2 linked regions of the Anolis sagrei genome follow. The protein of the gene in region 1 interacts with the protein of each later gene in a biochemical or structural test. Links are inferred from orthologs where the notes say so. Each region holds a gene or a part of one and is shown on either strand. Other genes may lie near its edges. The genes, in order: TMPO and LMNB1.

Region 1 (7,348 bases):
TAGAAAATTGGACTTCCGAGGTCGGACGGGTTTTTGAAAAAAAAAGGGGGGGGAATAAGGTGGAACTACAAAATGGAAGTTGGGGAAGTTACCAGTACTCATGGGATAGGGGGCAGTATGGGGTTAGGGAGGGGCTTGGCAAGGGTGGCAGGTGGTGATTGGATGTTTGGGTGGCAGGGGATGATTGGATGTTTATTAAACTGCACCACAACTTTGAACCAATGATTTTGTTCCGGGGCGGTCCTAAACCGAACCCCTTTGACTGTATAAAAAGGCCACATGGCTTGAGGCCTGTATCGTTTCCACCAGGCGCCATGTTGCGTAGGAGGCGACCCAGGCAGCTGCTTGACTTCTAAGTAAACTGCTTTCTTGAAAGAACCTGACTGCCTGTCTTGTTGTTCCTGCGCCCGCCGATTTGCAGCCTAGGAAAAAGATCATCCACTTCACTGTGATAATGCGGCATGTCTCATTAAGAGCCACATCCACTGTTTTAATGTGGTGAGATGTTTTCCACACTGGCATGCATATTCATCAGCAGAGTAGCAAAGCGCAAGGGCAGATGTCTTCACTCTGTCTGGTTGTGATCCACAGGTTGTGTCAGTCAGCTTTCATATAATATTATTTCTCTCACCCACTTTTTTTATAGCCAATCAGTGCTTCTTGTAGGTTAGAGCACAGTCCAGAGTGACTCCCAGGTATTTTGGTGTGCTGCAATGCTCCAGTGGGATTCCTTCCCAGGTAATCCTCAGGGCTCGAGATGCTTGTCTGTTCTTAAGGTGAAAAGCACACGTCTGCATTTTAGATGGATAAGGAATCAGCTGGTTTTCCCAATAATAGGCAGTAAGAGCACTTAAAGCAGTGTTTTTCAACCTGGGGGTTGCCAAAGACTATCAGAAAACAGTCCAGTACTGTTTCAGTAGTGCAGCGTTTCTCAACCTGAAGGTCAGGACCCCTGGGGGGGTTGTGAGGAGGTTTCAGAGGGGTTGCAAGACACCATCAGAAAACATATATTTCTTTTTTTTTTTTTTTAAAAAAGCTTTTTATTGAATTATATCATAGGTAAGTAAAGAATGGAACATCAAAAGTGAGAACAATTTTTGGATAGAAAAGCTTAGAAAAAGAGAGAAATTGGTAAAGAGAATGATTAAAGAAGGAAAAAAAGAAAATAAAGTAAGAAAAAAGGTTACATAAATGGTTTGACTTCCTTCTATTCTTCGGTGGCTGTAGAATTGTAATAGTTAGCCTTCCGAACGGGCAAAATGCAAAATCAGTCTAAGCATCCCTGTAATTTTTAATCTTCTTGTGAGTATTATTTTAGTCATATTAAGTCAATATTTAATTGCTTAAAGTAGTTTTTAACCAGGCCCCAGTTTATTTGTTTGTTTGGAAGTCCTTGGTTGGGAGTAATCCAGTAAGTAAACTTGTCCATGTTCATTACCTCCAAAACTTTCTTCAACCAGTCCTCTTTTTTAGGAAGAAAACATATATTTCTGATGGTCTTAGAAACCCCTTTGGCAGAGAAGGCTGAAGATCTCTCCGCCTGTCCTTTTCTTCCTTTCTAGAAAAAGCCGGGGAATCCTTCCACCAAAAGCCCTCTCCTGTGATTGACTGGCCTCTCAGCCAAGGGGAGGGCTGTTTCTGAGACTACAAGCAGGGGAGGGGAAAGCAGGCGTTCTCAGCACATGGCAGCGTGGTGTGCACTGTGGATGAGGGAGAGCGTTCGAGGCTGGAGGGAGGCTTGCACCAGCAAGTCTCTTCAAGGCATGGGAGTTCTGTGGAGGAAGTTTGTCCCAATTCTATCGTTGGTGGAGTTCAGAATGCTCTTTGATTGTAGGTGAACTATAAAACCCAGCAACTACAACTCCCAAATGTCTCTTTTCCCCATCTCCGCTAGTGTTCACATTTTGGCATATTGAGTATTTGTGCCAAGTTCGGTCCAGGTCTAGCATTGTTTGAGTCCACAGTGCTCTCTGGATGTAGGTGAACTACAATTCCAAAACTCAAGGTCAATGCCCACCAAATCCTTCCAATATTTTCTGTTGGTCATAGGAGTTCTGTGTGCCAAGATTGTTTCATTCCATTGTTGGTGGAGTTCAGAATGCTCTTTGATTGTAGGTTAATTATAAATCCCAGCAATTGCAACTCCCAACTGACAAAATCAAACCCCACCAGTTTTCAAATATGGGCATACTGGGTATTTGTGTCAAACTTGGTTCAGTGAATGAAAATACATTCTGCATAACAGATATTTACATTACAATTCATAACAGTAGCAAAAGTAGTTATGAAGTTGCAACTAAAATGATGTTGTGGTTGTGGGTCACCACAACAAGATGAACTGTATTAAGGGGTTGCATCTTAATGAACCTCTTGAGTGGTCAATATTTTCAAAAAGAGAAGTAGATAATCTCAATTTAGTCATAGCACATGTATATTTTGTTGAGATAAATCTATTAGGAAGGTCGAGAAACACTGGAGCAGGCAGAGTATGCATCCCATCTGAAATCCTGTGGTTGCCTCCCTTAGAATTCTGTTATGAAGTAGCAATGACAATAATTTTATGGTTGGGGATCACCACAACATGAGGAACTCTATTAAGGGGTCGTGGCATTAGGAAGGTTGAGAAACACTGACCTAAAACTTCAGAGAGCTTCTGTTCAACCATTAGCCTAAAGGTAATTTTATACATTATGCAGATGACACCACTTTGATAGCCGAAAGCGAGAAGGAGCCGAGGAGCCTTCTAATCAAGGTGAAAGAAGAAAGTGCAAAAGCTGGGTTGCAGTTAAACATAAAAAAACCCAAGATGATGGCAACAAGAATGATTGACAACTGGGAAATAGAGGAAGAAAATGTGGAGGCAGTGACAGACTTTGTATTTCTAGGTGCAAAGATTACTGCAGACGCAGACTGCAGCCAGGAAATCAGGAGACACTTACTTCTTGGGAGGAGAGCAATGTCCAATCTTGATAAAATAGTGAAGAGTAGTGACATCACATTGGCAACAAAGATCTGCATAGTTAAAACCATGGTATTCCCCGTAGTAAGCTACGGATGTGAGAGCTGGACCATAAGGAAGGCTGAGCAAAGGAAGATAGATGCTTTTGAACTGTGGTGTTGGAGAAAAGTTCTGAGAGTGCCTTAGACTGCGAGAAGCTCCAACCAGTCCATACTTCAAGAAATAAAGCCTGACTGCTCATTGGAGGGAAGAATAGTAGAGGCCAAGATGAAGTACTTTGGCCACATCATGAGAAGGAAGGAAAGCTTAGAGAAGACAATGAAGCTGGGGAAAATGGAAGGAAAAAGGAAGAGGGGCCGACCAAGGGCAAGATGGATGGATAGTATCCTTGAAGTGACTGGATTGACCTTGAAGGAGCTGGGGGTGGTGACAGCCAACAGGGAGCTCTGGCATGGGCTGGTCCATGAAGTCATGAATAGTCGGAAACGACTGAACAAATGAATTTTATACATATTTTAAATAATTTTGTGCATGAAACAATTCTTGTGTTCACTGAACCATAAGAAAGCAGAAGTGTCAGCCATCCATGTAGACGGAGTACGGATAAAGGCTGCTCAATTTGTTAGGTTAGCTTTGGTTAAGTTAGGTTAGCTTTGGTTAGGTTAGCGTAGCTTTGGTTATGTTTTAGGTTAGCTTTGGTTAGCTTAGCTTGGGTTAGGTCTGGTTAGCTTAGCTTTGGTTAGGTTTGTGTTCACTGAACCATCAGAAAGCAGAAGTGTCAGCCATCCATGTAGACGGAGTACGGATAAAGGCTGCTCAACTTGTATCTGGGTTGATTTCCCTCTCAGAAGTGCGCATTAGGCGAAGTGGATAATATCCACGGGAGTTTTTCACATAACACGTGTGCGTTTTGTCTCTTCCATAGCGCGCTTTTGTTTTGTTATTGTCCTTTGTGGCGAGAGATTAATTGCGCTTAAAAACCCTCTTTTAACATCAATGAAAAAGGGTCCTCCCCGGCCGAGCACCCACTCCCGCTTTGGAGCCTTGAGGGAGGCTGTTGTGGTGGTGGTGGTGGTGGTTGCCCGGGGCGCCTCTTCCTCTCCCGCCTGAGTCGAATTTAAAACTGCGTGACCAGAGCTCGCGCAAGGTACGGATTGATTGTGACGCGGCCCAGTGCGCGCGCGCGCACACACAAACAAGGCGAGCGGCTCTCCTCTCGGCGACGCAACCAATCCCAGGGCCGCTTCTCGCGCGCGGCAGCCAATCGCGGCGCACGTTATTGGCGGGCAGGCGAAGCCGTCCGTTGTGTGTTCTGTGTGAGCGTTAGGCGAGGGGGGCCGACCCTTCGCGAGGTTTCCTTTCTCTCCTTCCGCCCCTCCTCTCTTCCTGTCTCTCCCTCCCTCCCTCCCTGGGTGCACTCTTTGTTGGCGGGCCCTTCTCTCTCCGAGCCTGACGATGCCCGAGTTCCTGAGCGACCCGTCGGTGCTCACCAAGGAGAAGCTCAAGAGCGAGCTGATCGCCAACAACGTGAGTCTCCCCGGCGGAGAGCAGCGCAAGGACGTCTATGTGCAGCTCTACCTCCAGCACCTCACCGCCCGCAACGCCCCGGGGCCCCCCGCTCAGCCAGACTTCTCCAGCGACGAGGAGCGGGAGCGCGCCCCGGCCGCCAGGAACAGAGGAGGAGGAGGAGGGGGCGCGGCTGCAGCCTCCGCAGGCCGGGTAAGAAGCGACCCCCACCTCCCGCTTTCCCCGGAGCCCCCCTTCCTTCCCCAAGCGCTGAGGGGGCGGCGGAGTTTTCCCGCTTTTCTCACAGAGGGGGCGGCGCCATGTTTGGTCACTTGAGGGGAAGGCAAGGGAAGAGGAAGGGCCTCCCTCAGCCTCACTCGGGAGGCACCGTTTAATGCCTTTCAAACTCCCACAAAAGCGCGCGGAAGAAAAGCCCTTCGTGTGCCTCTGCGGTTTGGGATATTGCAGACATGGGCCAACTTGGGGTGTTTTGTACTCCAACTCCCACCATTCCTAACAGCCTCAGGCCCCTTCCTTTCCCCCCTCAGCCGCTTTGGAATGTTGAGGCTGGCCAATCAGAAGCCACACACAAATTAGTAGGTCGAGATAGCTCATACTTGGGCCCTCCCTTCAGGTGTTTTGGACTTCCATTCCCATCATTCCTAACAGCCTCAGGCCCCTTCTTTTTCTCCCTCAGCCGGACTTCCACTCCCATCATTCCTAACAGCCTCACGCCCCTTCTTTTTTCCCCTAAGCCGGACTTCCACTCCCATCATTCCTAACAGCCTCACGCCCCTTCTTTTCCCCCCTCAGCCGCTTAAGCGACTGAGGGGGAAAAAGAAGGGGCCTGAGGCTGTTAGGAATGATGGGAATGGAAGTCCAAAACACCTGGAGGGAAGGCCCAAGTTGGCCCATGCCTGATCTGCATCAGGGCCTCAAGTTGGTCCCAGGGTTTCCACCTGTGCACACAGAAGCCACTTTCTTCAATAAGTGTTTGAAGCAGCATTAAACGGTCAATGAAGATGGTGGGTCCTCCACTCGCTGCCTGCCTCCTCCTCCTCCTCTTACAGGCGTGTCCACAAGTCCCGCTCAGAAACGTTGAACTTGGTGGGCGTCCTGCCAGCCAGCGTCAGGCAGTTTCACTTCTGCAAATCTGCAGGAAGGCGTGCTGCCCTTGGCCTTCTGCCCGAGCGATAGTCTCGCCAGCCTCAGGAGACCTCCCGAGTAAATCTACTTCCAACTCCCACAATTCCAGCCAAAGTTTGTCCATGCCTGATCCACACTATAGAGCAGGCATGGGCAAACTTCAGTCCTCCAGGTGTTTTGCACTGAAACTCCCACAAATTCCTAAAAGCTTACCTACCGGCTGTTAAGAATTTGTGGGAGTTGAAGTCCAAAACACCCGGAGCACCAAAGTTTGCCCATGCCTGCTTTAGAGTGGCTCAGTGTTATGAAAACAGTAGGTTTGTAGTCTTCTCAGGCCAAGAATGTAGGCACCTCACCAAATGGCAACTCCCAGGATTCCATAGCAGTTAAAGTGGTCTCAAATTGCATTTTTTCTGCAGTGTGATGCACTCCTTATTTGTCAGGAGTGGGGATTGCTTCCAAGTACCCTGTTATTGTACTGTGAGTAATTCTGGAGGCCAGACTTTGTCTCCTCTGCTTTATAAACCCACCAGGTGACCTTAAGCGAATCACACACTCTCAGCCCTAGGAAATCCTTTGGCCCTCCGCCTGGGAGACAGGCTCGCCTTGGATCCTTGCGCTGCTGGGGAAAGCCTGTCAGGAGGCGGCTCGCGTTGCGGATCTGAAACACCAAGTGCATCAACACCAGGCATGGGCACACTTTAACCCTCCAGGTGTTTTGGACTTCCAACTCCCACAATTCCAGCCAAAGTTTGCCCATGCCTGATCAGTACTAGGGCATGCTTGCTGTAGAGTGGCTCAATGTTATGAAATAATGGAGATTGTAGTTTTACAATAGCTTTATCTTTCTCAGCCCAAGAGTGGGGACCTCACCAAACGGCAACTCCCAGGATTCCATAGCAGTTAAAGTGCTCTCAATTTTTTCTGCAGTGTGATGCATTCCCTGTTAGGCAGGAGTGGAGATTGCTTCCAGTACCTTGCTGTAGTGCTGTGAGCAACTCTGGAAGCCAGTTTCGACTGCCTGCGCCTTTTTAGAAACCCACTGAGTGACCTTGAGCAAGTCACACACTCACAGCCCTAGGAATAATTGGGAAGTGATTGAGGATGCACAACAACATACCTACTTCTTTCAAGCTCCTCTTTTGCTGTTCTCTCTATGGGTGCATAAATGGCATCCTGTCTCTATATAACTCCTTTAAAACACGCTTAAATTATGTTTCAATCCATCTGAAGGAGCCCCCAGTGGTTTTGGCCTTCAACTCCCAGAAACCACAGCTGGTTTACCAGCTGTTAGGATTTCTGGGAGTTGGAGGCCAAAACATCTGGGGACCCACAGGTTGAGAACCACTGGGTTAAAACCTTGTGCTGGCAGGACTGTTGACCAATAGGTCAGCAGTTCGAATCCAGAGAGAGCAGGTTGAGCTCCCTTTATCAGCTCCAGCTCCCCATGCTGAGTGATGCCTCCCGCAAGGATGATAAAACACCAAATATTCAGGCGTCCCCTGGGCAACGTCCTTGCAGATGCCCAATTCTCTCACACCAGAAGCGTCTTGCTGTTTCTCAAGTCGTTCCTGGCATGAAAAAAATCAATTTGAAATACTTCTAAATTTAAAAGGCACAATATGGTTTTCAGTTTTCTTTGGTATACTGTTTTTATTGTTGCTGCAAGGTACATTATTTTGATTTACTTTGAGTAAATGAAATGGAAGGAAGGTACTTGTTTTTCTTGCTAAACAG
Region 2 (7,294 bases), on another chromosome or scaffold:
GGTCAACATGGTTCAAATCAGTTGTTTTGGCTGGGAGGGGGGCTCTTTTGGGCTCGATGAGAATGGTACTCCGAGGAAAGAAAGAACTGGAGAAAAGGTAGATAGAAGCTTATTGAGGTAGATGCTTGATGGGAATCTGCAGGTTTATTGAGATATGGATCAAAACAAGTATGAAGAAAATATGAAGTATCTAAAAATAGTGTCTTTATGAGAATAGCATGGAAAATGTGCATTATGAAAATGTTGTTCCTTTATTTGTGTTGCACCTTTGTACACACACACTTTATGTAGTTTCTCTTTCCTTTCTAATCCCCCCAATTCTGTTAAGTAGATTTGTTGAGAGAGATATCTGACAGTTGCATAGTCAATTCCATGACAAAGAGATTTTAATATGGGTTTACCTCATCCAAGTCCAATAATTTAAGCATTACTGGCTCTCTCTGGTCAGTCTTAACTATAAGAAATTGTATGAACTGTGAAGTATAGTGTGTGAGAGAAAAACCCAATTTTAATAGGCTTGATTTAGAATGCAAATTAATTTGCATGATGTTCCAATTAAGTGCTCAGATTTAAGAAAGTGGAAATATGACATCTGTGTTAGTTTATTTTGCAAAACAATGTATGAGCTAGCAAATTTTTTACTTGAAAACATTTTTTTCTTATTACCTTTGACCAGTAAAATTACTAGGCGGAATTGTGAAGGGATGCCCCCCCCCCCCCAAAAATGTTGGCCATTTGTTTACTTTAGGAAGATGTTCTTCAAAACATAGCACACAAATAATGCATGGTAGTTGGAGTTTTACAAGATCTTTAGCCTTCTCTGGAAAGTGTTAGTGCCTCGTCAAGTCCCAAGTCCCATGATTCCATAGCATTGAACCATGGCAATTAAAGTGGTGTCAAACTGCATTCATTCTACCATGTAAATGCACCCTCTCCTACTGCTGGATTGATTCAGTCTAGAAAATCTCTGCTACAAATTAATCCACTGAAGGTCTCTTAATTTATAGGGTTACTGTTAAGTCAACTGTTAAGTAGCAAGGGGACTTGATAGAATTTGGAGCACCTATCTGTGTCTGACAGGAAGCAGCAAGTATAATGTCAGATTGAGAAAGTGGGATTTGCCTTGAGGTTTCTTGTAGTCAGCAGGCAGGAAGTAAGCAGTAAAGGGTTAACCCCTCCTTCAGTAGAAGATAGGATAAACAGGGAACTTGAAACCCTTTCTGGAGAGAAAGGCACTCCCTAGTACAGGGCTTTAGCATGAAGTAAAGCTGCCAACAATTACTTTTGCACAAAAGAATTTCCTGTATTTTTACTATTTAAGCATTCTTTTTCAATAAAGAATGTACTGTATTTTTTGCTACTTTAGCAGGAATGAGAACAAATACTAAGGATCAAACAAGCAAAAGATACACTTTTCTGTCCAGTTCATGGTTGAGGACTGAGGGTCATGGCCTGCAGCAAAGGCCTTTGCTGTTGAGGTGCAATTAGTTCTGGTAGCAAGCTTTCCTTGACCAAGCCACCAGAGGCTGGGCTGCACATTTGCCATTTGCCCCATCTAGATTGAGCGTTTAATGTATTTTGAAGCCAGTTTCAAACTGCGGTAGCCAGACAACAAACTTCCACAAAAACACACAAAAGAAAGCCCATCAAAAGCAACTGTTCTGTGCTTTATGTAATCACCACCCAGGCCTCAAACTGGTTCCAGAAGTTCCTGTGTAATCAGCACAGCAAAACCACTATCTTTGAAACTGCATCAAATGGTCAGAGTAGATGTGGCCATTGACTGCAAACCTTTTAGCACTTTCCCTGACTAAGAATATGATTGAACTCAGGAGGTTATACTATTCCATACTATTTATGTTGCCATGGCAGGTAAAGGGCCCTTCCATACAGCTCTATATCCCAAAATATCTTGGGAGAAAAACCGACATTATCTGAGTGTGAGTGAACTCAGGGCCCTTCCACACAGCCATATAACCCAGAACATCAGGGCAGAAAATCTCACAATATCTGCTTATCTGAGTTCACACTACATATATTCCAGTTCAAAGCAAAAAGTGTGGGATTTTATTCAGTTGTGTGGAAGGAGCCTCAGATAACCCAGTTCAAAACAGATATTGTGGGATTTTCTGCCTCCATATTCTGGGATATAGGGCTGTGTGGAAGGGCCCAAAGTGGCATAATATCACGAGTGTCGTGACAGGTCCCTCAGTCTATAAGGGCTTAGGCTACAACTTATTTCCCTCAGGTCCCTTCCACTGAATAAAATCCCACATTATATGCTTTGAACCAGGATATATAGCAGTGTGGACTCAGATAATCCAGTTCAAAGCAGATATTGTGGAATTTTCTGCCTTGACATTCTGAGATATAGATCTGTGTGGAAGGCTCCCCAATTAATCTCAAATATTTTTTTCATGCAAGATCACAGCACAGAGGCTAAGAACCAACTAGTCCCTTTTCTCCAGCCCATTTTTCCTAGGGTGCATCTATACCAGGTCTCAGGCCCGTAGCCAGGATTTTGTTTCAGGGTGGGGGGCTGAGTTTGGTTCGAGGGGGGGGGTTGAGTCTGAGTGAAAGAGGGTATACCCTAGCAAACCTTTTGTATCATTACCCCAATACCCCCATGCATATGGGATATATTGAGCATGGTGATCAGATGATATGAATAAACGTAACAGTTTAAATAATGTACCAGTAAGGCCTTCTTGTGGACCACCATCAGAATTTCGGGGGGCGGGGCTGAAGCCCCCAAGCCCCCCCTCCCCCGGCTACATGCCTGCCAGGCCTGGAACACCTACAATTCCTAACATCCAGTACAATGAGTTTATCTGCTGTGGCTCAGTTGATTGTGATTGATTCTGGAATTTGTAGTTTGGTGAGGGACCAGCACTTTTTGACACAGAAGGCTAAAGACTTTTGAAAACTCCAGTATGGTTGTAGCCTAGCTTACTTGTCCAAATGTATCTCTCCCTACCTCCCACCTCGAAACTTACGATCTTCCGGGGCGTCCCTGCTCTCGATCCCACCTTCGTCGCAAATGCGCTTGGTGGGGACAAGGGGCAGGGCCTTCTCAGCAGTCTCCCCCCCCCCCCCCCCCCCCGCCTGTGGAACTTGCTCCCCAGCGAAATTAGGTCAACCACTTCCCTCCTTTCCTTCAGGAAAAAGTTGAAGACTTGGCTATGGGACCAGGCATTCGGATAGCAGGCTGACAATACAAATGATGATAATGCTATGGAAAAAGGACTATGGACAGGCATCTGATTAAGTTGTTGATCGTAGAAAGCGGACTTGACATGCCAACTAATTCAATGTCTACTATCTTAAATGGTTTTTAATCGAATTTTAATGTTTTAACTTATTATGTAACTGTTGTTTATTTGTTGTATATGTGGGGCATTGAATTGTTGCCGGCTGTAAGCCGCCCTGAGTCCCCCTTCCAGGGTAGAGAAGGGCGGGGCACAAATATCTGAAATAAATAAATAAACTCCCAGGATTGGACAGCACTAAGGTTCAAAGCAAATATTGTGGATCATCTGCCTTGATATTCTGGGTTATATATATGGTTATGTGGAAGGGCCCTGAGTTACAGCAGTTAAACTGGTGTCAAAATGCCATAATTCCAGTGTAGAATAAATAGGGTAGCCTGGAGGAGCTCAGCCAGGCAGTGCCCATTCAAACAAACAAACAAACAAAAAAGACAAGTGAAAGAAAGAAAAGCAAGAGGGCAGCTGTTCTTTCCACCGCCTCAGAAAGGCCAAGAAGCAACCCCTTCCTCGTCCTCCTCCCGCCTTCAAACATCTGAGGAGAAAGAAGCCAAGAGGAAGGGAAGGGGGGGGGGGGGGAGACGACGGTTAAAGCTCGTGCTCGTGCGCGCTCACGCGGGCTGAGGAAAGGGCCGGGTCGCTTAGGTGGGAGGAGGGGAGGGGGGAAGAGAAAGGGAGAGAGCGAGCGCGCGCGCGCCACAATCCTTCGCTGACAGTTGCAAACGGCGGGTTTTGAATTTAGCGTCGAGACCTCCCTCGAGAGCGAGGCCGAAGGCGCTTCGCCCTCCCATTGGCTGAAGCGCGGTCACGTGAGCGTGGGCGAACGTAAGGCCGACGAGAAGGGGGACGGCTTGCTGGCTTGGAGCGCGCGGTGGCGGCGGCCATATTGGTTCCTCGCGGAGCCCGCCTGTTTTGTGTCCCTTGCAGAAGGCCCTTCAGGAGGAGGAGGAGGAGCGGGAGGCGGCCGCCGCTGCTGCTGTCGTCGTCGTCGTCGCCAGGCTCGGGGGAGTAAACCCGCGCCTTCCACCTGCGAGCTCGGCTTCTCTCTTTGCTCCCCCTTTCCTTCCTTCCTTCTTTCTTTCTCGGGCTTCTTTTGTAACCCCGTCTGGGTCCTTTTTGCTCCTCCCTCTTATTCTTCCCCTTTCTTTTCCCGCCTTCTCTGCGTGTCCATTCATAGATCACCAGCCCTCCTTTTGTTTCCCTTCGGCGTTGATTTCGTGCCCCCTCCATTTGTGTTCCTTTTCCTTCTGGCTGTGCCTGAGCCGAGAAGGGCTTTCTTGTATTTTCTCCCATTGGTTTTGGCTCCTCCCTCCTATTCTTCCCCTTCGTTTCCCGCCTTCTCTGTGGAGTTTTTTTGCCCATTCATTGAGCCTACTCCAATTAGCTCCCTTCAGCATTGATTAGCGTTCTCCTCGTCTTCTTTTTCCATTTCTAGCTCCTGTGCTTTATTGGGGTTTTGTTTTTCTTTCAAACCGGGGGTTTTTGTAACGGGAAGGCTTTGTGGGCTGCCGCTCTTAACCCCTTCCGGCCCGGGCTTTGTCTTTTCCTCCTCCTCTCGCCTGCCTGCCTTGCTTTTCCCGCCATGGCGGCGATGGCGATGGCCTCGACGCCGGTGGGGCAGCGGACCCGGAGCAGCGCGGCCAGCACCCCCTTGAGCCCCACGCGCATCTCCCGCCTCCAGGAGAAAGAGGAGCTGCGCGAGCTCAACGACCGCCTGGCCGTCTACATTGACAAGGTGCGGAGCCTGGAGCTGGAGAACAGCGCGCTCCACCTCCAGGTCACCGAGCGCGAGGAGGTGCGCGGGCGGGAGCTCACCGGCCTCAAGTCCCTCTACGAGGCCGAGCTGGCCGACGCCCGCCGCGCCTTGGACGACACGGCCCGCGAGAGGGCCAAGCTCCAGATCGAGCTGGGCAAGGTCCGCGCCGAGCACGACCAGCTCCTCGGAAGGTGAGGGCAGCAAGGGATTGGGCCCAGTTGGACAAGGGGTTGGCCCTGCCTTTTGCACACCCCTGAAGGGGAAGGGGCACCTTGGGACGGGGGAGGGGGGGAGAGCATGGCAGGAACATGTGACACTAGACCCCCCCTTTTCCCATTGCAAGTTTGGCCCGCCTCCCTCTTGCTAACCCACCCCCTAAAAGGGGGAAGGGGTCCTGGGAGGAACTTGTGACCCCCCCCCCCCAAGAATTACCACACCTTTTCCCTACAACAGATTTCGACCCCCTGTTGGCATCCCTCTTGCAAAGCCACTTGGAGGTGGGGAGGGGGTAATGGCAGGAACATGTGACACGGGACTCCCTCTTTTCCCATTACAGGGTTGCCCCTCATGTTCACCTCTCTCTTGTAAATCCACTCGCCTAAGAGTGGGAGGGGATATTTGGAAAGGAGGGTCGTGGCAGGAACCTGTGACCCTGCCCTCTTCCACACAGCTGAATAAAACCCCACATTTTCTGCTTTAAACTGGAATATAAGGCAGTATGGACTCCAGTAACTCAGTTCAAAGCAGATATTGTGGGATTTTCTGCCTTGATGTCCAGGGTTATATGGCTGCGTAGAAGAGCCCCACAGAGCTCCCCCAGGGCCCTTCCACAAAGCCATATAACCCAGAATATCAAGGCAGAAAATCCCACAATATCTGCTTTGAAATGAGGCCCCCTTCCACACATTTGTATTAAATCCACATTGAACTGGATTATATGGCAGCATGGGCTCTAAAATAACCTAGTTCAAAGCAGATATTATGGATTGTCTGCTTTGATATTCTGGGTTATATGTCTGTGTGGAAGGGCTCTGGGTTATCTGAGTCCACACTGCTATATATTTTAGGCCCCTTCCACACTGCAGATTAAATTCCCACATTTTCTGCTTTGAACTGGAATATATGGCAGTGTGAACTCAGATAACTGGGGACACAGCCTTATATCCCAGAATATCAAGGCAGAAAATCCCACATTATCTGAGTGTGGACTCAGGTAACCCAGTTCAAAGCAGATATTGTAGGATTTTCTACCTTAATGTTCTGGGTAATACGTGTGTGGAAGGGGCCCCAGTTCAAAGCAGATAATGTGGGATTTTCTACCTTAATGTTCTGGGTAATATGTGTGTGGAAGGGGCCCCAGTTCAAAGCAGATAATGTGGGATTTAATTCAGCTGTGTGGAAGGGGCCCCAGTTCTCCTAGTACACTTTTGACCCATCTGGTCCACCTCTCTTGCAAAGCAACTTGCCTAAATGGGGAAGGGGCACCCTGGAAGGCATATAAGGAGGTGCACCCCCTCCCCCTTGCTCTTCTGTTCTTTAGATAAGTAACTCCTTATTGTGGGTATGCCACTATTAACTGATAAAGTTGCATTTACCATGGGGCGGGTTTGATTATTAATATGCTTTAATTCCAAAGACAGAGCTCTGTTAGTCTGAAATATCAGTGTCCTGTAGCAATTTAGACACTAGCACATGCTTTCTTAAGAGTGCAGCTACATTGTGGAACTGATGCAGTTTGACACCCCTTTAATTTCCACCACTCAATGCTATAGAAAGTTATGGCACCAGCACCCTTTTCCCATGATTTCATAGCATTGAGCCGTGGTGGTGAAAGTGGTGTTTACCTGCATTAATTCTGCAGTGTAGTTGCACCCTGGGCCTTACTACGCTTTGATTCCAAAGACCTATCTTGGAATATCATTATCTTGTGCCACCTTGGACACTTACTAAGAGAAAAGAGTTGGTAGCACAACTTGCTTAGAGTAATTCTACTTTATCAGACACATGAAGCAACATATCTAGGAACAGACATAGAAGCAGCCTGTGAATATCCATAGTACAGTTGACCCTCCATATCCACAGATTCACCCATCCATGCTTTGAAAATGTTCACCAAAGCAAACTTCATTTTGCCACTGGATTTTGTAGATGCAGGGGTCCTGGAACCAAACTCTAACACATACCAAGGACTCACTGTAAAGCAAGTCTGTTCTGACATCAACATTAAAAAACTCCACAAGATTTTGCCTTGCTTCTCCAGTTTCAAATATGG

Evidence for each region.
Region 2: the proteins of TMPO (region 1) and LMNB1 form a complex in vitro, tested with the Homo sapiens proteins (2 studies listed by BioGRID). The link is inferred for Anolis sagrei from reciprocal best matches to the Homo sapiens genes TMPO and LMNB1.

What each region holds. Positions count from the first base shown.
Region 1 is NC_090025.1:156,776,617-156,783,964, forward strand, and holds the start of TMPO (thymopoietin), read left to right. Parts: upstream 1-4,229; 5' UTR 4,230-4,414; coding exon 4,415-4,678; intron 4,679-7,348. UniProt on the Homo sapiens protein: May help direct the assembly of the nuclear lamina and thereby help maintain the structural organization of the nuclear envelope. Possible receptor for attachment of lamin filaments to the inner nuclear membrane.
Region 2 is NC_090022.1:237,883,629-237,890,922, reverse strand, and holds the start of LMNB1 (lamin-B1), read left to right. Parts: upstream 1-4,098; 5' UTR 4,099-4,848; coding exon 4,849-5,213; intron 5,214-7,294. UniProt on the Homo sapiens protein: Lamins are intermediate filament proteins that assemble into a filamentous meshwork, and which constitute the major components of the nuclear lamina, a fibrous layer on the nucleoplasmic side of the inner nuclear membrane.